Saccharomyces cerevisiae S288C: one gene and its partners. Changing the gene in region 3 together with the main gene of any one other region gives a genetic interaction. Each region holds a gene or a part of one and is shown on either strand. Other genes may lie near its edges. The genes, in order: PAU15, PEX7 and WHI4.

Evidence for each region.
Region 1: mutations in WHI4 (region 3) and PAU15 together harm fitness less than expected from each alone (positive genetic interaction), as found in Saccharomyces cerevisiae (one large-scale study listed by BioGRID).
Region 2: mutations in WHI4 (region 3) and PEX7 together harm fitness more than expected from each alone (negative genetic interaction), as found in Saccharomyces cerevisiae (one large-scale study listed by BioGRID).

Annotation. Positions count from the first base shown.
Region 1 is NC_001141.2:432,287-434,835, forward strand, and holds PAU15 (seripauperin PAU15), read left to right. Parts: upstream 1-1,642; coding exon 1,643-2,017; downstream 2,018-2,549.
Region 2 is NC_001136.10:739,869-743,291, reverse strand, and holds PEX7 (Pex7p), read left to right. Parts: upstream 1-1,691; coding exon 1,692-2,819; downstream 2,820-3,423. Other genes in the region: ubiquitin-protein ligase SAN1, read left to right, coding at 1-1,250; DOP1 (Dop1p), read left to right, coding at 3,295-3,423. UniProt on the Saccharomyces cerevisiae protein: Receptor required for the peroxisomal import of proteins containing a C-terminal PTS2-type peroxisomal targeting signal, such as 3-oxoacyl-CoA thiolase. Specifically binds to cargo proteins containing a PTS2 peroxisomal targeting signal in the cytosol.
Region 3 is NC_001136.10:54,355-58,120, reverse strand, and holds WHI4 (Whi4p), read left to right. Parts: upstream 1-1,774; coding exon 1,775-3,724; downstream 3,725-3,766. Other genes in the region: HBT1 (Hbt1p), read left to right, coding at 1-856. UniProt on the Saccharomyces cerevisiae protein: Has a partially redundant function to WHI3, a dosage-dependent modulator of cell size.

The DNA of each region.
Region 1 (2,549 bases), on a different chromosome or scaffold from region 3:
AGAGTACTGCTTGCATGAGGTTTACGCAACAGGTCTAGTCAGTTTTAACTCCTCGGATATCTCGAGATATTTTGCTGTAGTGAGCGACAGGGTAGCAAATTTTTGGACCCTTAACCCCTTATACAAATTACCACCATATGTTCCTTTTCTGCAGCGAAAACCTCGGTGTTGTCAGAAACAATTTAAGAAAAGCACAGGCGAAATTGGGCTTGCACTGGGTGATCAACAATGCCAGAAATAAATGAGAAGCTTTTTACTCTTGCTTTTGCTTCTTCCTCTTTATGTTCAAGCCAGCCAAGCTATGTTATAGTGTTGAATGTCTTGAACCGTTATAGTTTCTAAAAATAACTTTACATTTTGTTATGCAATCTTCATCATCTCGAACTTTTCAACAAACGTTCAACAGTGATGGTCTTCCCCAGTGAACCAAAAGACATATGACGCTCGTATGGTATGTTAAAAACAACATAGAGGATAGTAGGTCGGGGTTTATTGTAGAAAGGACATAAATAGTTGACGTGGTAAATTTTCATCAACTAAAGCCACATCTATTTTGCCAAGTAGGAGATAATGTAATATGTAGAGGGATCGAGATTTACTGAAGCCTCACGTGAGGGCAATCTGGAATCAGATTGCACTGGTTTGCACCATACCTCTCAAAGAAGAAAACGTACTACTTTTTTAGTTGAGTATGGATAGGGTAGTGTTTCCTAAAGTTATAAGGTAAAAGGGGCAGAGGAAAAGTCGATAATAATTTGAAAGAAACTTGCTTCCATATTCACAAAGGAGCTGGATACTTCATGTCATCCGCACATATATCTACAAAAATTTCAACTTTTTGAGGTTGATACTAAGTCTTTCGCTACCAAAATGAAAGAAATCAATTTGGAGAGACTTAGGCTGAATATTTCCGCGTTCTCTCTGGGGATGAAAGATTTCTTACTGCAAAGAGTTTCAGTATTTACGGATTGGTTACAATTTTTTTTTTTTATCATAATCAATTCTTTGAATATCAACTTCTCTCAATACCATCCGCCTCTCAGCGGCTACAATTACGTAATTGCACCAAGGCCTTCGCCGAGAGTTTACATATTTGCAGACCCTAACAGTATACGACTCCCAACACACGTTTAATGTTGTACGAATTCAAGAGATAGAAATATTTCTTGCATGGAAGCCGTTTAGAGCAGACTGAATATGGGCTTAGACAATAAGCTTCTGTACGAGGGTCCAAATCTAAAATTCGGATATTCTTTTTGACCGAAAAAGGAAATGTCACAGGCACAGAAAAGGGTTTTATAAGGCACCTCGGCACCCTATAATTGGCATTCCCACATTCTGCGCATACGAATACACATGAGTGCCATAAAACAATACTCCACATACGAAGTCTATGAAAGATGTATGATTCGTTCAGAAACAAGGTCATCTCCATAGAGATAATGAGATTGTGTGAAAGATGAGATATGGAGGATATGTGAGGTGCTAAATGAGCACCTGTTAACGAATCGTTTAAGTAGTGATGACTGATGAAGGCATGGGTATAAATAGAGCTGCTTCAACTGTATGTCTTTGAGAATATGTTTTTATTCCTTTCTTTCCTGTTAAGCTTATATCAGCACTAAAAAACAAAACAAATATAATGGTCAAATTAACTTCAATCGCTGCTGGTGTCGCCGCCATCGCTGCTGGTGTTGCCGCTGCCCCAGCCACTACCACTCTATCTCCATCTGACGAAAGAGTTAACTTGGTCGAATTGGGTGTTTACGTCTCCGATATCAGAGCTCATTTGGCCCAATACTACTTGTTTCAAGCAGCTCATCCAAGTGAGACCTACCCAGTTGAAATTGCTGAAGCTGTTTTCAACTATGGTGACTTCACCACCATGTTGACTGGTATTCCAGCTGAACAAGTCACCAGAGTTATCACTGGTGTTCCATGGTACTCTACCAGATTGAGACCAGCTATCTCCAGTGCTCTATCTAAGGACGGTATTTACACTGCTATTCCAAAATAGAGACATGCCTTTACGAATGAGATTCCATAGACATTGAAAGTAACGAAAAAATGAAATAAAAAATGCTTTCAATATAAATACAGCTGATTACATATAAACATATATTAATATTATAAATTCATTTGCTTTCACGAACTACCGGCTGGGCGTCAATATAATAGGGAACGCATAGTTGCTCTTTTATCTTTCTCACAACTAGGGGTTTTTTTATGTGAGCTGTACGGAATAGGCCAGTTTTACAACAGGATTCGTAGATCAGAATCCGTTCAAGCTATTCACCTGTTACAGCAGTAGAGTTGCTCTTGTCTTGACCCGTGAATATTAAATACTGTAGAACCAGAACGGATACTTGAATATATTCAACGATGGGAAAATAAAAAGACATATAAGAAAAATGTGCTAGTACGGTAAGGAGGATACTGAAAAGAAAAGGAAAATATAGTTTAAAATAGTAAAGATAACCCACTTTCGTTATGGGTTTAGTGAGGGTTGGTAACGAACCGTAGCGCGGTGTAGTATGCTGTGAATAATT
Region 2 (3,423 bases), 690 kb from region 3:
GAACAAAAAAAAGGAAGGATAATGAAGGTGCGCCCCTACGCACAACCGCCGATAATGACAGTAACCCATCGATTACAAATGCTACGGTTGTTGAACCGCCTTCTATTCCTCTCACTGAACAACAACGCACTCTCAATGATGAAGAAACAAATCCAAGCTACAAACACTCACCAATCAAGTTACCTTGTGGCCACATTTTTGGGAGGGAATGTATCTACAAATGGTCAAGATTAGAAAATTCTTGTCCCCTTTGTAGACAAAAGATCAGCGAATCTGTAGGTGTTCAACGTGCAGCCCAACAAGATACGGATGAAGTAGCAGCTAACGAAGCTGCTTTTGAACGTATTAGACGAGTTTTATACGACCCAACTGCAGTGAATAGCACTAACGAAAATAGTTCCGCCCCATCCGAAAACACGTCCAATACAACGGTTCCCACTATCGGAAATGCAAGTTCTGGCGAACAGATGTTATCAAGAACAGGCTTTTTTTTAGTGCCTCAAAACGGCCAACCTTTACACAATCCAGTCCGTTTACCGCCTAATGATAGCGATAGAAACGGTGTCAACGGGCCGAGCTCAACTACTCAAAATCCACCCTCTAATTCTGGTGGTTCGAATAACAATCAAAGTCCGCGCTGGGTTCCCATCCCTTTGACTTTGTTCCAATTCCACAGTCCAAATCCGAATCCTTCCGCTTCTGATTCTTCGGCAAGCCCATCAGCAGCGAACGGTCCAAACTCAAATAACACTAGTAGTGACGCTACAGACCCTCACCACAACAGACTAAGAGCCGTTTTGGATCACATATTCAACGTTGCTCAGAGGGGAACTTCTGATACCTCTGCAACAACAGCACCCGGAGCACAAACTGTTCACAACCAAGGACGTAATGACTCATCGTCCTCTGATACAACGCAAGGAAGTTCCTTTTTGGAAAATATTTCACGATTAACAGGCCATTTTACGAATGGCTCAAGAGACAACAATAACGACAATAACCATAGCAATGATCAACAACGAGGTGGAAGTACTGGTGAGAACAACAGAAATAACTTGTTTTCCTCCGGTGTTGCCAGTTATAGAAATCAAAATGGTGATGTTACTACCGTCGAACTACGCAACAACAATTCTGCTGCCTTTCCTCCTACAGACGAAAATCCCTCTCAAGGCCAAGGTTCAAGCAGTTCGGACACCACCATTCATAACGACGTCCCTAATGATAACAATGAGCAACGATCATCACAATAAACAATACCGCTTCTGAAGTATGTTAATATGAAAATATGTCCTATTGGCAGTCATCCATTTTCAGACATTATTTTCTACTCCTTTTACCTTTTTTTTATCTGCATCTTTATATATATATATCATATACTTATTTTTCTTTACTTCTACTTAAAGTTCTATAATCATTGTTAATCAGAAATTTGCATGTCTCCAGCAAGTAAATATGAAGGCCGAGAAATTAAACCACCGACATAACCTCCTCTGAAAAGTCGTTTCGCAAAACAGTAAAAGGTGAAAACACTTTTAAGAACTGTGGAACACAAACTGTGTTTTCTTACCATAAAATCTTTTACCGGAGGTCGAAATCGTTTTCTTTCTGATTTGGAATTCGACGCTCGAAAAGTGCAGAGATCTCATATTGTTAACGGACTATCATCTAACTTTTTGCATAATTTATACAACATGCTCAGATATCATATGCAAGGTTTTAGTGGGTACGGTGTCCAGTATTCTCCCTTTTTCGATAACAGGCTCGCGGTAGCTGCTGGTTCAAACTTTGGCCTGGTTGGGAATGGAAAATTGTTCATCCTTGAGATTGATCGTTCAGGTAGAATAGTGGAAGTTAATTCCTTTTTAACACAGGATTGTTTATTTGATCTTGCATGGAACGAAAGTCATGAAAACCAAGTGTTGGTTGCACAGGGCGATGGTACATTACGCTTGTTTGATACAACCTTTAAAGAGTTTCCTATTGCTATATTTAAAGAGCATGAACGAGAAGTATTCAGTTGTAATTGGAACTTAGTCAACAGGCAGAATTTCTTAAGTAGTTCATGGGATGGATCTATAAAAATATGGTCCCCTCTAAGAAAGCAAAGTTTAATGACCCTTACTCCACGACCTTTAGAGATTACCAAAATGGTGGATCCATTAAACGCCATTATATTGAAAAAGAAAAGCTTTACAGGTATTTCAAAAAACAGGAACTGTGTATACCAAGCACAGTTCTCGCCCCACGACCAAAATCTCGTATTATCCTGTTCAGGGAATTCTTATGCAAGCTTATTTGACATTAGACTACCTTCCGGCAAAAATCAGAATAATTTTTTAGTGCATTCAGGACTAGAAGCATTGACTTGCGATTTCAACAAATACAGACCTTATGTAGTTGCCACAGGAGGTGTAGATAATGCCATTAGAATCTGGGACATTAGGATGCTAAATAAAAATGAATCAGCGACTATCAAGAGGACTGTGCCCGGCCAACTTCACAATTCATCATGCATCAATGAAATCCCTAATGCGCACGGGCTGGCAATCAGAAAAGTTACCTGGTCCCCTCATCATTCCAATATTTTAATGTCAGCTTCATATGATATGACCTGTCGAATATGGAGAGATCTCAGCAACGATGGTGCAAAAGAAACATATAAAACTAACTCTACGGATGCTACTAAAGGTTCCATTTTCAATTTCACACAGCATTCAGAATTCGTATTTGGAGCTGACTGGAGCTTGTGGGGAAAGCCAGGATATGTGGCTTCAACTGCATGGGATGGAAATTTATTTGTATGGAACGGCTTAGGTTGACACATATTCTTTTTACACAAATTTTTTGCATTATTTAAACTTTAAAATTATTTTTCAATCATTGTCAGCATTTGGCAGATCATTTACGTAATTATTTAATATTCTCAACACGAAATTATGGGTAACAACGCTTCTGACTGTGCAAAAGAACATTCTAAAAACATACCTACGGCAAAAACTGCTAATTACTCAAATTAATCAAGTTTTTATAACGACATAAGCGAGTGCTGAAAGAAGGAATATTTAGAGTCCGATTACCGTTTTATTAATAAACGACATACTTATATATTTGCTGGGCGTTCCACCCGAGGCACGTGATCAAAAGTGATTTTGGTTTTTTCAAAGGCTAAGCTTCGATCTCACTGGAAAAGGAACAATAGCAATACCTAATATAAAACTCAAGCCTCCCAATTATGTTTATAACGGTGAAATAAAAAGCCGACAGAGCAGCTTTTTCTGAGAGGATCGACAAAAAATGTCCTTACCACTAAAGCCCCTTACAATTGACTCAAATAATAAACAACTAGACTCCAAACAGAAGAAGTTTCGTGCTAATGTCGAGCGAGCATTAGAAAGATTTGACTCTGTAACAGAATGGGCGGAC
Region 3 (3,766 bases):
AAAATCCAAGACCTTCAGCTCGAACCCTTTTGATGATAGTAAAAATACAGACACTCATCTCGAAAACGCTAATGTTGCTGCCTTTGATAATTCCAGATCTGGAGACACTACATACTCCAAATCAGGGGATGCTGAAACAGCTGCTTACGATAATATTAAAAATGCGGACCCTACATATGCCAAATCACAAGATATTACTGGAATGACTCACGATCAGGAACCATCATCAGAACAAAAGGCCAGTTACGGTTCTGGCGGCAATTCCCAAAATCAAGAATATTCTAGCGACGATAATATTGATGTCAATAAGAATGCGAAAGTTTTAGAGGAAGACGCACCGGGCTACAAGCGTGAAGTAGATTTGAAGAACAAACGTAGAACCGACCTTGGTGGTGCCGACGCCTCAAACGCTTATGCTGCCGAAGTTGGTAATTTCCCTAGTTTGATTGACCCACATGTCCCAACATACGGATTTAAAGACACCAACACCTCTAGTTCTCAAAAGCCATCTGAGGGCACCTACCCAGAAACCACTTCCTATTCAATTCATAATGAAACAACTTCTCAGGGAAGGAAAGTGTCGGTGGGTTCAATGGGTTCCGGAAAATCAAAACATCATCACAATCATCACCGTCACAGCAGACAGAATTCTTCAAAAGGGTCTGACTACGACTATAATAATTCTACTCATTCAGCCGAGCACACTCCAAGACATCATCAGTACGGTTCCGATGAGGGTGAGCAAGATTACCATGACGACGAGCAAGGTGAGGAACAGGCTGGTAAACAAAGTTTCATGGGTAGAGTGAGAAAAAGTATTTCTGGCGGTACTTTTGGATTTAGGAGTGAAATTTAAACACTTCTCGATTAACAAATTCCCAGTATTCTTTGAAATCTATTTTTCTTCCTCAATTGAATTTGAATAACTGTCTACGCGGACTCCTCCTATCTACAACTACAACAAATTTTAACCACTTTATTACCACTTTCCTCTTTCATTTATTTTTGTCTTTTATGTTGTCAATTTACTAGTATTTTTTTTTTTTTCATTTACGTTCAAGGTTTTTTATACTCATTTAACTTGTCTTAGGTTATTTATATATATACCTATATATTTATATATATATATATATATGTATGTATATATTATTATCACCAAATGAGAAATAATAGCTAATTTGATTTTTGATTATTTAAAATATTGGTTTGTTCTTTCTGCAAACATCTCGTTTGGTACGATATTAGTGAAAAACGATGTAATTATCAACACGTGCATTACCCAGCGTTATATTTTCATTACCCGGACGTGGTGTTTTTTGTTTTTTAATGTTTCTTAGACTTAAAGAGGAATGGAATGGTTATTTGGATTAAATCATAGAAAAGTACAATTAAGGTTACGGCAGGAGCCTCGAACCGGTAGTTTTACAGAAAATAGACCCATCTGGTGGCAACACTAAATCATTGAAATAATAGCAAACAATTGTTTCAAAACTCCTCCCATTTGGATCTCATCTCAATTGTTTTTTCCTTCTTAGTTAAAAGTTCACGAAATTAGGAAATCTAAGAATCAAAATATAATCCGCTGTTATTTCTGCGTGTAAAGGTTTATCTTCTACTTGTGTCATATTTCACAAATTATCACTTTGCTAAAACAAGGGACTGACTTCTTTCTTTATTTTTCGAGCATTTTTCAAAAAAGCAGGGTTTTTGAAAACAGGAACCTTAGTTGCCACATCTACGCTGAAAAATAACGCTTAAGGTTTCTCAATTAACAATGTCATTAGTGCATAATCAGACGAATTTAAACGAATCCAAATTTCTTATAGAAAGGGCATTTAGTTCTAGTTCAGAAACCGTTCCATTATCAAAGGAGGCAACATATCCCATGCCAACTGCATATAGTTTTTCCGCAGTTAGGAGCAACAGCGAGACTAACATTAAAAGAGAGAACCCGCAAGGTTTTGCAAAAGAACCTATTATGACTTCTATGCTTCATAATTTGACCATGTCCACGGGGAAAGGGAACGGGAATGACGTCAATTCTTTAGCCCCACATGATGTGGATGTTGGCCCCTACTGTCTTTTGCTGAGGAATTTGCCAAAAGACATTACACTAAGAGAGTGTTATTGTATATTTTCACTAGCAACTGGGGTGTCAAGTATAGAACTAAAAAGGGATGATAGAGAACCCTTTAATGACAATGAAAAAGTCGTTGTGGTCAAATTTGGATCCCTTTCTTTAGTAACCCATTATGCTAATATATTAAACTCGAAGTCTGAGATTTTTGGGCCTAGTTTCCCCTTTAGGTCTCACATTGACGTAGTAAATGAACAAACGCAGCTTCCAGTGAGTTTTCAAGAACATGTTTCATCTGGCACTACAAATAGTTCTCCAAAGAATTACCAATTGTCGTCCAGTGCGCAAAATGAAATTCAAAATCAAAGTTTTAATACTATATCATATGGAAAAACTAGTTCCTCTCCATTAGGGCCTTCAGCGGCCAAGCCAAGGCCTTCATTACTTTCAGAGAGATCCCTCCGTTTCTCATTCAATGACCCATTCGGATTGGAAACAATCTCTCAAAGAAAAGAATCCGTACCCTTTCTACGAAATAGCATCTCACAACATGATTTATCAAACGTAACCACCACACCAGTTCCAGCAGGAATGCCACCTCAGAAGGACGCTGGCAAGTCACTTTTGCTACTAGAAAAGGATGAAATAAATGAAAGTATTTGGAATGGTGATGAATTAGTTAATGATGTTGGTAATTCTTCATTTGGTGCATCTTTACAAGAGCCTCCGATGTCATCTACGCCTGTGATGGAGTGGAATGCTTCCTCAACTGCTAATATTCCTCTTTTTCAATTATCTAGCCAAGAAAATCATCAGTCTAATCTGTTGCCTCCATCCCACCATTCAATTAGCCAGGATGTTCCACATATTCAATCACAACCTAATCTGAACAATTCAGGAGTAATACATTCCGCGACTTCTCTACCGCATTATCACTTATTGAACCAAATTAATGCTTCAACTAAGACACAAAGTATTCAGCAGAGCGTTTCGAATGTTCCTTCCAATTTGGACCTGAATCTCCAAACGGAAAATGGCCACCCACAATCTTCTGCTCCTAACGGGTCTTCAATATTCAACAACCAAAAGGTGAATCAAGGCTTTTTAGTGAGTGAACAAGACACCAGTACAATATCACGACAGAAAGAATGTTCTTCTACAGCTTCTGCCTCTGCATTTTCGAAAAATAACGAAACAAATGTGGCAGGTTCCACAACTATTTCACAGGCTGACCTATCACTACTAGCCAAGGTGCCACCACCAGCCAATCCCGCGGACCAAAATCCTCCTTGTAATACTCTTTATGTGGGTAATCTACCTCCGGATGCCACGGAACAAGAATTAAGGCAATTGTTTTCTAATCAGCAAGGTTTTCGTAGATTATCCTTCAGGAATAAAATGAACTCTCACGGTCATGGCAACGGTCATGGCCATGGTCCAATTTGTTTTGTAGAATTTGAGGATGTTAGCTTTGCCACTAGAGCATTGGCAGAATTATATGGTAGTCAACTACCTCACCCCCGCCCTTCCCTCAACAACAAAGGAGGTATCAGGTTGAGCTTCTCTAAAAATCCATTAGGCGTTAGAGGCTCAAACAGTAGGAGTAAATCTGGTTACAGCTTTAATGGAAGTTACGGGAAATCATGATAGATTTAGTATTGCTTTATTAATTTTCTTTTGCTTTACTTT